Linked DNA regions of Drosophila melanogaster. The protein of the gene in region 2 interacts with the protein of the main gene of each other region in a pairwise test. Each region holds a gene or a part of one and is shown on either strand. Other genes may lie near its edges.

Region 1 (4,018 bases), on a different chromosome or scaffold from region 2:
GGTGAGCCCCGGCCAGAAATGCCAAGTTGACCATTTTCTGGCCTTTGAAGGCAGCGTGTTTGAAGTGGGTCAAGTATTCGCCAATGCGATTACATCTCTTCAAATGGAAATAAAAAAGTTATTGATCCTCGTAACTGTGTATAATTATTAAAGTCCTTATGCGAATTATAAATGTCTAGATTTGTTTCTAAAAAAAAATTGTTTTTCATAATCAACTTACATATCCTAATAACTTCTTAAAACTGAAAACTTCCAATCTATCTAAAATTTAACCGGGTTCTCCATTTTATATTATTTTTGTTCTTTCATAAAAAAATAATTTGAAATTATACTTTTACTAGCTTGCTTTCGCAGCAGCATCACTGATAACGGTGCAAGTGCTTTCCTCGCTCTCTCTGTCACCGCTGAGCGAGAGCGTACTCGCACTCATTCATTATTTTTCATCTATTTATTCATAAATGCATTTTTTGCCCCTGCTATTTTCAGCGGCTCAAGAGTTTTAATTTTAGAAAGCACTGCTCCCTACTTTTCGTCTTTTTCTCCCGTAATATTTATGCAACATGCAATGCTGCTTTATTTATCTCTGTGGGAAAGAAAGCGTGGCATGTTTTTTGCGGTGTGTGGTGTCTTCTTGTTATTCCTGCGTGGGAGCGTCAGGTTCCAAGTTCGTTTCCCTAATTTTTTCTTTTGGTCCACAGATGGAAGGTTGGTCTAAAATGTGGAGTGACTCATAAAGGCTATAAATAGGCAAATTGATATTGTCTAAAGCTGGCGGTTAATGATTATTGATTGCTGACGTAGACGTCGATAGCATTTGTTGATTGTCAATTGGTTTTCCCCGATGACGAACGATTTTTGAGTCTATGATTTATTGGACTGCAGCTGCTCTGCTCCGCTCTCTCTTTTGAGCTCTGCTCCGCTCTCGCTCCTTTGATAAGCCCGCATATGCTTATGTGTGTGTGTGTGGTGAGGTCAGCGCATCAATTATGCTCATTTCTTGTCTTTTTCTTTGATAAAATCAGCGAACAACAAATGGGAAAGGGCGGGGGCAGGGCCCCGGCCAGACGGCGGCGCCCGAGATTTTTGGCAAATCAAAGCAGTCAGCTGTCCCCTTTGCTCATAATTAAGCAATGGGGAGCAGTGAAAGTGTGTCGACTACTAATTGGCACCTTGAATAATTGCACACCGATAAATAAAGTAGTGGCTTCCTTTTTCCTCTCAAGACAAAAGGGCGTCGCACTGCACTTACACACATACATGTACACCGCTCTCCCCTTCTTATCTCCAGTCTCTATACTTCTAACGCTGATTTTCAGCCGATTTTAAGCCACTTGCAACGTCAACAATTTTCACAACATTTCACATTTACAATGCAGTCTTTCTTTTCCTTCTTCTTTTCTTTTTGTTGGAAACGCATCCGCCATTTGCAAGCCACTTGTGTATGTGTGCCGGAGCGCTGCGCCTGTTTGAGTGTGTGTGTGTGTTGGGTTGTCGCGTCGACAGTTTTTTCATCACTTTGCTTGGATTTAGATACGCTTTATCAAACCAGTTCTTACTTGCAACTGTTAAACTTTTTCTCAACTTTCTTATGCCTTTCGGCTGCGGACTTACACTTTTTCGTTAGTGGGAAAATTGAAACATTTGCAAACAGAGTGACCGTGGCGACATACTCCAAAAATCGCGCCAGTCACATAATAGTCCTAAATTTGGACAACTAGCGATGACTCAAGCCGCCGGATAAATGCGCTATGTTTTTGTAGCCGAGACACGCTACGTGGGGAGAGCGATGTTTTTATCGTGGACACAAACCAAATTGAAATTCTTCACCGAAGATTTTATCGCGACTGTGCCATGGTCGCACTGATTAGCTCACCGAAACGTTCATTGAATTTGTTTTGATTATCTCGAAATAACAAGCTATTTTCTCAATTTTCCTGACAAAAATGACATCGATTGCCAAGTCCATAGTACTATTGGCATCCCTGGCCACGTTCGCTTACTCCCTGTACGTGGTTGGCAGCCTGATGATGTTCCTTTCGACGCCTCGTTCGATTTCCAAGGCGCACACCTGGATTTTCAATTTACTGGACAACAAGTCGCGCCTGCAGACCGCCTATGGACCCGTGGTGTTCGATACCCTCTACCTGATCGGATTCATCTTCCAGCACAGCTTCCTCAAGTCAGCCGTGGTCAAGAAGCTGTTGGCCAAGTTGGGATTGTCGGGTGCGGAGCGCACTATTTATAGCCTGACGTCATCGCTTTGTTTACATGTTTGTATACCCACAAATTGGACAGAAATAGCTCCCAACTGCAACTTTGGACATTTCAGTATTTGATCGTCAACTGGCTGCCCGCTCAGTCGATTGTTCTGTGGCAAATCGATGTGGAGCAGAGTGCTCCGCTTTGGTGGACCTTCGTGATCACCCATGGCATCTGCTGGGTTGTCATCTTTGGCGGCAGTTTGGTGATGGATCTGCCAGAGCTGCTGGGCGTCAAGCAAGCCTACTACGATCTGAAGGCCTACGGACCGCCCATCAGCTACAAATCCGGGGAATTGCGCAATCTGTACGCCCATGTCAGACATCCCTCGTTTGTGGGCCTGTCGGTCATCCTGTTCGCCACGAATGTGATGAGCGTGGATCGGCTAGTCATGGCCTTGCTGCTGACCACCTACATGTACCTGGCCTGGTCCACAGATCAGAAGGATGTGGCCTATCAGAAGATTCAACTGCAGCGCAAGAAACTCGAACTGAAGGCCAAGTAAACTTAATCTCAAAAGTGTTCTTACTAAGATCTAGTTGTAAGTTGACATGAGTTTGTATTGAATAATACTTTTCTAACAATTTCAGTTTCCGAATCAGAACGAAACAAATAATGAAAAAACTAAAAGATATATAAAAATATATATGGTTCAGTTTTTACTATTTTACTACTATTGCTAGCTTAATTAATTATTTTAAAATTTAACTCATTCTTACGATAGAAGGATCAAAGGGCTGTCCTTTAAACGGCGAACCTTCGGCATCCCAGGCAGCTTTCAGGCGATCCAGGTTTATAGCTTGGTCGGGACTTGAGGTCTGAATTTCATTTTGTTGCTTGTCTGCTGCCAACTGCTGGACCCTAAGCTTTTCTATGGTGGCCTGGGTTTCCTCCGGCAAATCATCTATATAGCGTTCGCATTCAATCTTCTTGGAATCGATTTCTGGATCACCTTCGAAGAGCCGATCCCACCAGAGCTCCTTTGCTTTATCTACAGTTATATACAGTTTATGAAAATGGTTTATAAAGATGTTTTAGGTGAATGCCCACCGTAACTTATGATCAATCGGTTCTGATCAATTGTCCACACCGCCTCCTTGTGTTTAATCCGCTGGCTCAGGTTTCCCTCGAGGATGATCGTCTCTGGGCTATGCTTGCTGCTCACTTTGATGTGCTGGGCCTGAATTGAAATGTGCAGCTTCTTCGCCGTTTGATGATCCTTGGGAAGCAGAGCCTGCACCTCCACATCCTTGAGGGTTTGTGACCAGCAGTGCGTTTCGAACACATCTCCGTTTTTGTAGTCGCTGGGGGAGAACTTTGACTGCTCCTTCCCTTTTTGTGGCGGCTGGCTCTCTATGGGTTTCATTTCCTCGTCCTGAGGACCATCTTCGCTTTCCAGGACCACTTCTTCGACGGCAGGCGGAGCCGTTTCTCCATCATCTGCACCGCCTTCCGCGGTCAGGGATTGTAGCAAGCAATCCGGATCGTAGCGCTGCATGGCGCCATATAGAATCTGATCCCTCACGCCTTTGGGGAAGCCTATTTTATCCGCTTCATCGCGTTTTGTGTGATAAAAGTCGGTGCTAAAAAGGGAAGTGGGACTACAGTTTTGTTAAGGATCTTGAGATAAAATCTTTTACTTGCGTCGCAGAAATCCGAAAATGGAGTCCAGGAAACCTGTAATAGTTTTCCGATCCTGCAGAATTTCCATGAGCATAGCATCGTTTCGCTGAAAGTCCATTTTTGTAAGAATAGTAAC
Region 2 (5,069 bases):
TAAACTAAACAAATTTCCCAACTGTCTCTTGCAGAAACTCTTCCTGGTCGCTTTTGCCGTGATCGCAGCCGTGGCTGCCGATGTCAGCCACCTGCCCTCCAACGAGTACCTGCCTCCCGTCCAGGAGCAGCAGATCATCGCCGGACCCAGCAACGAGTACCTGCCTCCCGTGCAGGCCGAGTCTGCCCCCGCCCATGAGCTGGCCGATGATGGCTACCGGTACAAGACCCACAAGCGCGTGGTGGTCCGCCGCCACCGCCGTGACGTCAACGAGCTCTTCAACGAGTACCTGCCCCCCTTCGCAGCTCCTTCCAACGAGTACCTGGCTCCTGCTGAGGGTGCTCCTGAGACCATCTTGGCCGATGATGGATACCGTTACAAGACCCACAAGCGCGTGGTAACCCGCCGTCACCGTCGTGATGTGAGCCACTTGCCCTCCAACGAGTACCTGCCCCCAGTCCAGGCTGCTGCTCCTTCCAACGAGTATCTGCCCCCAGTGTCCGCCCCCGTCCAGGTTGCTGCCCCAGCTCCCGCTCCAGTTCAGATCGCCGCCCCTGTCCAGCTGGCCGCCCCCGCTCCTGTCGTGGTTGAGGCTGAGCCCGCCCATGAGCTGGCCGATGACGGTTACCGTTACAAGACCCATCGTCGCGTTGTTTACCGCCGCCACCGCCGTGACGTCAACGAGCTCTCCAACGAGTACCTGCCCCCCTTCGCAGCTCCTTCCAACGAGTACCTGGCTCCCGCTGAGACTGCTCCTGAGACCGACTTGGCCGTTGATGGATACCGCTACAAGACCCACAAGCGCGTGGTAACCCGCCGTCACCGTCGTGATGTGAACGAGCTCTCCAACGAGTACTTGCCTCCCGTGCAGTCTGCTCCCTCTGCCGAGTACCTTGCCCCCCAGGAAAACACCGTCGAGGCGGCTCCCGCCCATGTCCTGGCTGATGATGGATACGTCTACAAGACCCACAAGCGCGTTGTGTTGCGCCGCCACTAAATCATCCGATAAAGGCTTCACTAGGTGATCGAATTGTGCTCATTTTTGAGTGCAGACCCTACTATTAGAATACCTCTTTTTCATTCAAATACAATAATACGATAACGAATCCATACATTCAGCTCTTTTTAATTTTATTATGTTGGGTGTACGAGCTGGGTGATAAAAGGTTATATGTATAGAATTGACTGAAGGAGGAATATATTCGGATAAAACATAAATCTTTGCGGATAATATATAAACCAGAGAATAATAAAAAACGACAAAGTTTTTAAACATGTATTAACCTATTTAAAAATAATAATTTAATGTAATAATATAAAAAGGTTTTAGGGCTAGAATATATTCATTATTTCACGATCTAATTATACACATAAGAACGTGGGATTAGAGAAGCAATATACACTTGACACATAATCGAAATTGAAATCTATTTATGCCGAAGCTTCCGCAATCTCATCTTCAAAAAGTTCAAGCCTGCTTAACGCTTTTAGACCATTTACCTACAAAAGTAAGGGTATGTTAACTTTCTTGGATGGTGTGTCTTTTTAATATGCCGTTATTAATTTAATAGGTTTTTATGACCTAAACGCTTATGTAATTTATTAAAATGTTATTTTATAGTGGATATATTATTTATATACGATTTGCAATTAAATATAGAAACGTTTTGTTAGCAGAATCTAGTTCGAGGAATAGAATTAATTACCCCGTTTTATTAATGTTTTCCTTCGACTCTTCATAAAAGGTAATTTTTCCAAAAGTGTATTCAGTTCATTTTGTTCAGGTTTTCTTTCAGCCGGTGATATACAATCGCTTTCGACAGTCACATCTATGTATTGTTTCGGCATTGAGGTCGTGATTTATTTCCGCAATTTGATTGCTTTTTCGGCAGTCATTTCGCTTCTTACCAACTGTTTTTAGCCTTTTCTCCGCTCCGCTATCGAACATCTGCTTTTATTACCCGAAGTCATAGAACCCGATTAGTACCAGTTGATTAAGCCACAATATAATTATCGACAATTAAGCAAATTGAGCTGGGGTGGGTCGGAATTGGGAATCGAAATTGGCACGCGTTTGGTCTGGGAGAAATTGGCAAGTGCGGATAGGGGAACAATGGAACCTGATCTTGGCCACTAAGTATTAACGAAATATACTTAAAATATTAAGTGGCCGTTTGGATGATTTGGCGGTTAGGCCGGGGGTGAAAGGGGGACTCCCAAATCGTGGCTCATGATCTCGCTGGAGTTGAGCAGAGCGCAAAACCCGTTGCAAACCTGCTTGCAAAACTATAATGGATATGTTTTGGCGGTGTCACTAAATACAAATTCATAAATTAAATAGTCAAATGCAAATTTCTCGCCGCAGGCCGGTGATTAGAATCATATAAATAAGCCGCAGAACATTGTCTAAGGCATCACTTCCACTTGCACTCTCCGTTCAACTGGACAGCCGAGCACCCAGCAAAATGGTATTAACCAGGAACGGTGCGCCATTAGGATAATCAGCTAATATGTGCCATTTTCTCCATTGCAGAAATTCTTCTTGTTCTGCGCCTTCATCGCCGCCGTGGCCGCTGATGTCAGCCACCTGCCATCTAGCCAGTACCTGCCCCCCGGCCGTGGAGCAGCATCGGCTCCCGTGGCTTCCTACTCTGCTCCTTCCCAGAGCTACAGCGTAGAGGCCTCGGCCCCAGTTGCCTCCTACTCTGCTCCCGTTGAGTCCAGCTACTCCGTTGCTGCTTCTGCTCCAGCGGTGTCTTATGCTGCTCCAGCTGTGTCCTACGCCGCTCCCGCCCAGAGCTACTCTGCTCCTGCTGCCACCTACACTGCTGCTGCTTCTGCCCCAGCTGTGTCCTACGCCGCTCCTGCCCAAAGCTACTCTGCTCCTGCTGCCACCTACACTGCTGCTGCTTCTGCCCCAGCTGTGTCCTACGCCGCTCCTGCCCAGAGCTACTCTGCTCCTGCTGCCACCTACACTGCTGCTGCTTCTGCCCCAGCTGTGACCTACGCTGCTCCTGCTCAGACCTACACCGCTGCCGCTTCCGCCCCAGCTGTGTCCTACTCCGCTCCCGCTGAGTCTTACGAGACCGCTGCCTCTGAGCCCGCCCACACCTTCTCGGCCAACGATGGATACCGCTACAAGACCCACAAGCGCGTGGTCCTTCGCCGTCATCGTCGTGGCGTGCCCTCCAACGACTACCTGCCCCCCTTCCAGGGAGCCGCTTCTGCCCCAACCAGTGAGTACCTGCCCCCAGCAGCTTCCGCCCCCGCTCCAGTCTACCAGAGCGCTGCCTCTGCCCCAGCTGTGTCCTACGCCGCTCCCGCCCAGACCTATTCCGCACCTGCTGTCTCCTACGCCGAGCCCGCCGAGAGCTACGAAACCGCTGCTTCTGCTCCTGCCCACTCCTTCTCCTCCAACGATGGATACCGCTACAAGACCCACAAGCGTGTGGTGCTCCGCCGTCACCGTCGTGATGTGAGCCACCTGCCTTCCAACGATTACCTGCCTCCAGCAGCCTCTGCCCCAGCTCCAGTGTACTCCGCCCCCGCTCAGAGCTACTCTGCTCCCGCTGCCACCTACACCGCTGCTGCCTCCGCCCCAGCTGTGTCCTACGCCGCACCTGCCCAGAGCTACTCTGCTCCTGCTGCCACCTACACCGCTGCTGCTTCCGCTCCAGCTGTCTCCTACTCTGCTCCCTCTCAGAGCTACTCTGCTCCCGAGTACTACAGCGGTGCCGCTTCCGCCCCAGCTGTCTCCTACTCCGCCCCAGCTGCTTCCTACTCTGCCCCAGCTGAGAGCTACGAGACCGCCGCCTCTGAGCCCGCCCACTCCTTCTCCTCCAACGATGGATACCGCTACAAGACCCAGCGTCGCGTGGTCCTCCGCCGTCACCGTTACTAGAGGCTCCAACGAACCCCCAGCGAACCGAGCCAAATCCTGTTATTTGACTCACGGGTTTCATCTGGGAAACGAAATTAATAAATTCATAAATAAAAAAAATATTGAAAAATACTTCCACTGCCTGATTAATTAATCGACTAACAGGAAACCCCATTGACGGGAGCCCCCTTATTTGCCTAACAATAATATTGCATAATAGAATAAGAAGTTTTGGCCACTAAAGCCAATGATTATCAGGCATTAATACCGAGCTGTCGTCAAGCGGAGACGATACAGCAACTGAAAAAACTAGTTCAAATCGAGATGCGGAAACTCGTTTAATGCTTCGAAATTAATTTTTTGTTCAGCAAGTGCATTGTCATCTGAAGCTTCAAGTTCAAAGTCAACCATAAGAAAATTCGAGGCATACTTTTTGGCCTTTGTAAGATTTATATGGATGTAGTAAGCATATAGTAAGTGTATATTTATGTAGTAAGTCCCTCGCGGCAGACTACAGAGTTAAAAAAAACCCAGTGAATTATGGATCTATTTTGTAAGGCAGACTTATTAAAAAATTTATCTTAGTAATATAAAAAGCCTCAATGTATAGCATTATATCCGTATCACAGAAAGACTTTTGTTATTCCGGCTAAAAAATAGCAGGTTGAATGATTCCAATGCTATCGCGTTACCGAAGTTTGAGCAGAATTATTAATTTCTTGTTGCCCAAATGTACTCTACTTTTCGGCAAGCCAGCACTATAAACTGCGATGTCTAAAAGTATGTGATTCGACCGAATTTTTAGTTTATTCTAGATGGGATCTGCTGTTTCACTCTAAGACTAGACGTCTTACCCTTCGACACACTGAAAGAAAACAGTAAGAACATAACATTCACATTGTCATTTTTAATTCGGCAGCATTGCGTAATCGTTAAAACATAAGTTTTAAAAACATATTTTAATGACTAAGTTCGATTGGAGATTCCGCAGGCAAGATCCCCGGTAAATCATTAATAATAGTTATTAAATAAAATATTACAGTAGACTACAATTATTCAATTTCGTACGTTCCTAAGGATCACTATGCGCACACAGAGGCAATTGTGTCATTTAATCAGTGATGAGAGGGCCAATCGACGGATGAGTTATTCAAAAGTCGAATGCGATGGCCGGCTTCGGGTAGGAATA
Region 3 (6,338 bases), on a different chromosome or scaffold from region 2:
CAGTTTTCAGATTTCAAAAATATACTCCAAACTTCATTAAATCTTATAAACCGTTTATTAAACATAAAAGTAAAATCTGAAATAAGTCGTTACACAATGCAAACTCGAAACCAGTCAATTTCTGGCCGTGTTCTCCTTGCCGCGCTCCCGTTTCTGCAGCTGCAGCTCCCTTTCGGCCATTCCCGCCTTCACCCAATAATGGGTCATCACATCCACCAAGGTGATGCGGCCCTTGCTTTCCTTGCGAAGCAGCTGCAAAGATGAAATCCCTGTTCAATAAATGGATCTCAAAGGAAACATCTTCCAACTCACCCCGCCAATCAATTCCTTGCAGCCCTTGGACAAATGCGATGGGTAGGAGATCTCCATGCGCCGGATCTTGCTGTAGGTGCTCTCCGTGCTGTTCGACTCGAAGGGCGGACAGCCGACGACGAACTCGTAGCACAGAATGCCCAGGCACCACTGGTCCACCGAGTCGTCGTAGGAGTTCCCATCCACCATCTCCGGCGGCAGATAGTCCAGGGTGCCGCACAGAGTCCTGCGCTTGTTGTTCGGCGTGTGCGCCGACCAACCAAAGTCGGCCAGCTTAAGGTCGTCCGTGCTGGTTAGCAGAATGTTCTCCGGCTTCAGATCCCGATGGATCACGTTGTTCAGGTGACAGTAGTTGAGGGCATTCGCCACTTGGTAGGTGTACTTCGCAGACCGCGGTTCATCGAATCGATGATTGGGTGCGCCACGCAGGTGCTTGAACAGCTCGCCCTCGGACGCAATTTCCAGGGCCAGATAGATGCGGCTCTCGTCGTGGAACCAAGTGAGCAGGCGCAGGATGTGCGGGTGCTTCAGTCGCGACTGGATCTCGATCTCGCGTAGAACCTGACGCTGCACGCAGCCCTTGCGCAGCTCCTCTTTGAACATCACCTTCATGGCCACCAGATAGTGCGAGTGGCGCTCCCGCGCCAAGTAGACACGTCCAAATTTGCCGCGTCCCAAGTGGGCGCCCATCTCAAAGTCCCGGGGACTCCAATCGTATCTGGAGGGAGCAGATTAAGTACGGATTGATACATTAGCTTATTGCTTGTACGTACGGCTGTCCGTATGCGTCGTGGGACATCATCTTGAGGCACATATTCTTGATCGGCTCCTGGTGCTCCTCGGGCACCTTGGCCAGCAGGTGCGGCAGGTGGTTGCGGTTGGCGTGCTTCGCGCGGGAAAGCGTCATGGCGCTGACTTGTTTATAATATTATGATTTTTAAGTAAATTAATTATTTTAAGTTGTATTTTCTATAAGCGTCCCTTTTGTTTGCGCGTTTTTTTCGAATGCTGAGATTAGTGTGACCGCATGCTAGAATCGAGTTATTCTGTGACTCTCAGTGAAGCAGTTAAGTCACTGTATTTTTAAATTCGGTCAACGTATAATAAAATATTTTCATGTTTCTTAAATAAAAATTAATCTTCTAGTTTTGTTCTTATATTGTGCATAGTTATTATAATATACGCTTCTCACCCGTAGGAGAATAGTTTGAGTGAAGGGCATAGAAAACTGTTTAATTATTATAAACCATAGCTACCAGTGCTCAAATCATATCAGATGTTTAATAGATTTATATTATTAGTTGTCTAAATTTATTTAAATATACAATATCAATAATATTTATATGTATATATAAATAAAAATGTTTTGCATAATATAAGTCTCGAATACCTCTAACTAACCATTGAAAATGAGCTGCAAAAAATCCTTTGGATTTCCCGACTATTCGCAATCTGGCCACACTCGCCATTAGTCATTTTTTACACAATAAACGTAAATTAAGCGAATTTGCAAGCGCTATTCGGAAGTTTTTAGGCTAATCGAAAAGATATAAGCAGCCCAAAAGAGATTTGGAAAAAAGCGAAAAGGTCTACGCAGGAGGAAGTACACCAAAAGCGTGCTTTCAGTCGCCGTGACGCACCGAAAATCGATTGGAGAGGAAAAACAATAGGGAAAACAGACAAAGATCAACTGATTTGGATTTATTGACCCCAGGGCAGCGCAGATTATTGGCAGATAGCCGAGCGAGCGGTTTGGTCATAAAGATGGGAATCTTTGGGCAGTCGTCGCCATTCGACGCCGACGTGGGTGAGTTACCACTTATCGTTAAGCTGTTGTGTTGGCCGATTGGACAAGCCGATGTTCCAATTGGACTGCACAACGGTCCAATATGCGTTTCATAGTTTTCTATTCTTATCTGGGGTCTAAAAACCCGCACACCACACCATTTTCCCCTGTTTTCCCTATGAACCCGATCCCCCGATTGAGCAGACAACAAAGAAAGTCATGTGAGATGCTGTGCGCAGCTCTGCGTCGTTCGTTGAACTTCTTATTGGAGTTGTTAGATGGCAGTCGCTGACCTTGAGTGACGTAGCACCCGCAGCCCCTCACACCCCCTCCGTTTACGCAGCCAACCCCCTCGCCATCCCTTAATGCAATTTAGTTAGTTTCCGATTGTATTGATTTTCTTTAGCTGCAATCAGTTTTCGAAGAAGCTTATCTTTGTTTTGCTGTGACTCAGAATATAAATTTCTATTTGACTGATAAGCTAATGCGGTTCATGCCTTTCTTGTTTTATAGAAAAGGCCACCAGCGAAACTAATACCAACGACAACTGGTCTCTGATTTTGGATGTATGCGACAAGGTAACGACCAATCCCCGCCTGGCCAAGGATTGCCTGAAGGCGGTGATGCGCCGCATGGGCCACACCGATCCTCATGTGGTGATGCAGGCGATTACGCTTTTGGACGCCCTGTCCAACAACTGCGGAAAACCGCTCCATTTGGAGGTGGCTTCACGGGATTTCGAGACGGAGTTCCGCCGCCTGTTGGCCAAAGCACAGCCAAAGGTTTCACTGGTGAGTACAAACAGTTTTAACTCACTTATTTCATTTCTAATTCCAATTATGATTCACAGAAAATGCGCCAAGTGCTGAAGAACTGGGCTGAAAACGACTATAAGAACGATCGAGAGCTCGACTTGATACCCGCACTCTATGCCAAGCTGCGCCAAGAGGGATATGATTTCAAGAATCTTGGCGATAAGACTAGCAAGACTGTTGCCGAAAAGGCCGCCGCCCTGCCCAAAGATCCGAATGTGGTCAGCAGCCAGCAGGAAGAGGATGACATCGCCAAGGCCATCGAATTGTCGCTGAAGGAGAACAAGGGCAGTCCAAAGACTGGGAGTGTAGCAAGTACCGGCACCGCCAGTGCCTATCCCTCATTGTATCCATCTTTCGCTGGAACCGGCTCGAGTGCACCGAGCGCCGAAGCCAGTTCCGCACCAGCGCCAGAGCCGAGAAAGGTTCGAGCTCTGTACGATTTCGAAGCTGCCGAGGAAAACGAATTGACCTTCTTTGCCGGCGAGATCATTCATGTGCTGGATGATAGTGATCCAAACTGGTGGAAGGGATACAATCAACGCGGCGAGGGTCTCTTCCCCTCGAACTTTGTCACTGCCGATCTGTCCGTCGATCCCGAGCGGCTGGACATCAATCAGCAGCATAAGTCGGCCGCCGCAGCCGGGCAACGAGAGTTGGATTCCGCTGCGGCACTGCAGCAAAAGACTGAAGCGGCAGCAGCTGCCGCCGCAGCTCAGCCTGTGGAGATCGACGAGTCAAAGATCGACCGGCTGCTGCATTTGCTGCACGAGGCGAATCCCGAAGATCCCTCGCAGGACAGCGACGAAATGCTGCAGCTGGAGCAGGAGGTCCATCAGATGGGACCGCTGATCGATGCCGAGCTGGAACGCGTCGACCGCAAGCACGCTCAACTGACGCAGTTGTCCAGCGACCTCGTCGACGCCATTAATCTGTACCATACCTTGATGCGGGATGACCGTGCTGCGGCTGGACATTTTGCCGCCGCTGCTGGCGGCTTTATGCCTGGACTTGCTGGTTTCCCGGGTGCCGCTCTGTACGGTGCTCCAGGTTATCCTGCAGCGGGTGGATTCCCACCGGCCCAAAATTATCCGGGCATGCACTCGATGCCATATGGCCCCGTACCAAATCCTCCCACTTCTGCTCCATCTCAGGCACCTGGAGCTCCTGGTGGCTATCTGGGTCAACCGCAGGGGCAGGTGCCACTGCCCTATCAGAACGGACATGCCGCACAGATGAACTGTTAGTACAAAGGATTAAAATACTTATTATATTTACCTATAATAACATTTTCAATCGTCTTTCCAGCGCTGCCAGCCCATTTGACTCAACCCACTGGCACTGCACCCATGCCCCAGCCAATCTACACTCAGCCGACTCCCGTGACCACCCAACAGCAGCAGCAGCCACTTCCACAGCACCCTCAACAGCCGCCACAGCAGCAAGGCCAGCAGCCCCCACAGCATCCCCAGAACAGCTACCACATCGACCCCCAGTCACAGTACGCCCAAGTTCCGCCCGCAGTCACACAAATCCAGCAGCCGCAGCAGCCACCGGCTCCGCACGCTTACATGTCGCCGCAGCATCAGCAGGCACCGCCACCACAGGGATACCAGCCAGGACCAAATCTTTATGGACCGAACGGATCGCCGGCCGTCGTCAACCCGCAGAGCTACATGTCCCCACAGCAGCAGCAGCAACAACACCCACCACCACACGATCAGTTTAGTCAGCTGCATCAGCAGATGGCCGCCATGTCCATGGCTGGCGGACCGCCAGTTGGGGCGCCCGGCTATCACATGCAGAACGATGCTGTCAAGAACAACATTCCTATCTACCAGCAGCAGCGGTAAGACCGCTGCACTAAAACAGAGACCTTCACTTGGTTCGCTTTGAATTGCCCGAGCAACTTTAAGCTTTGTCTTCATTCTGACAAAAGGATGTCATCGAGTATGTTAGTTTTGGCCAACTTGCCGAGAAACGGAAGTTGTCAAATCTCTGCTATGTACATTTTGAGAAGAGCAATTGTCAGTGAACCAAATATGTCGACTATCCTTTAAAATAACGAAAGAAGCCAAATTAATATCAAGTATACCCTTACGAGTTTTCGTTTTTTGTGTTTATATTTGGTCCAACGAAATGATATATTTTTCTGGAAGTAAGGCAATACCAGTCGAAAAAGATATATATACCATATAAATAATCTGTATTCAACAGCACGTATAACTTTGTATTTAGTGCAGGGGAGATAACTATTATGTATTATGTTTATTGTACGGATTATGATAAATCTAACGAAACGAATCACATTCATTAAAATCATAAAAATATACTAAGTAAACACAATGTCTTTGAAAATTGCAAGTCAAAAGCTTACGGCTACCCTTCTCAAATATTTTCAGCACTAGCAATCGATGTGGAATAATTTTCAAGAAAATTTTGGAAATCAGATGAAGTTTTTAGAAATTTTTTTAGTGATAAAGAAAGCAGATTATTTGTTTATTTCTCACTTGAATTGTTTGTTTATTTTTATGATATTTATTTAAATTTTCTTATCGATGCTATAAAACATGAAGGTAAAATTCTTTATGTAGGCTTCAGAAAGAGTAATCTGCATTGCTTTATAAACTGAAACAATTCAGCACGAGTTTTGGATTCGCACCCCTTTTAAACTTAACATGCTTAGAGCTCCATTCAACTGCGCTCATCCCCTTTTCGGAGAATACCTCCCTCCGCTCGTGTTAGTGCGCTTTTCCGATGAGATTCCAATATATTCAGACAAGCTTTGCCACATGCCACTGTCTCGCAATCCGGCAAACATGCAACAATTTAGCAAAATTCCATCCGGCATTCGGTGGCACAAATATCCTGTGAAATAAACTGTCAAAACGGGGCAGACAGACAGTATCTCAGCCTGGTAAATAGAAAATGCCAATGAATGCGGAGTGTCACCTGGAGTGAAAGAACGACGAGCCAGGAGACGGGCGAGAGCAGGCTATGCAAATATTTGCTGATTGTTGATTTCTATGGGCTGGCAAGTGGGTGGTTGTGGGTGGTGTTGTCTAGCTGCAAAAATGTCAACAAATGCATAGGTATTTTTTAAATTAATTGATTTTGCTGGCCTTGCACGCTTACATCGAATGGGCTGGGAAACGGGAAAATTTGGGCGAACTGGCTGGGGTCGTGGGAAAATCCTGCCCAGCCGAACACCTGAACCTTGTTCGTCCTGTGCCCTTTTTTTTTTTTTTTTTTATTATTTGACTTACGGTAGGAAAATTAAAATCTTCTAAAGATACCACCTACCGTCCGTAGGTGGCATGCACGATTCATAAGCCCTATTGGAATTATGCCTACGTACTAAAACAAAAACCTCCGCGTGCTCTACAGTCCTTGCTCGCTCACCGGGACTGCCAGTCAAGGTATGACTT

The links.
Region 1: the proteins of CG11350 (region 2) and CG7655 interact in a two-hybrid assay, tested with the Drosophila melanogaster proteins (one large-scale study listed by BioGRID).
Region 3: the proteins of CG11350 (region 2) and Stam interact in a two-hybrid assay, tested with the Drosophila melanogaster proteins (one large-scale study listed by BioGRID).

The regions. Positions count from the first base shown.
Region 1 is NT_033777.3:17,680,846-17,684,863, forward strand, and holds CG7655 (uncharacterized protein), read left to right. Parts: upstream 1-1,823; 5' UTR 1,824-1,943; coding exon 1,944-2,270; intron 2,271-2,329; coding exon 2,330-2,764; 3' UTR 2,765-2,928; downstream 2,929-4,018. Other genes in the region: CG31251 (uncharacterized protein), read right to left, coding at 2,964-3,250, 3,310-3,842, 3,900-4,000.
Region 2 is NT_037436.4:4,480,379-4,485,447, forward strand, and holds CG11350 (uncharacterized protein), read left to right. Parts: upstream 1-2,430; 5' UTR 2,431-2,465; coding exon 2,466-2,468; intron 2,469-2,533; coding exon 2,534-3,901; 3' UTR 3,902-3,992; downstream 3,993-5,069. Other genes in the region: CG7465 (uncharacterized protein), read left to right, coding at 35-997; CG13722 (uncharacterized protein), read right to left, coding at 5,031-5,069.
Region 3 is NT_033779.5:10,856,759-10,863,096, forward strand, and holds Stam (signal transducing adaptor molecule), read left to right. Parts: upstream 1-1,777; 5' UTR 1,778-2,076; coding exon 2,077-2,119; intron 2,120-2,611; coding exon 2,612-2,889; intron 2,890-2,948; coding exon 2,949-4,152; intron 4,153-4,218; coding exon 4,219-4,763; 3' UTR 4,764-5,248; downstream 5,249-6,338. Other genes in the region: aurB (aurora B), read right to left, coding at 115-252, 313-1,030, 1,086-1,219.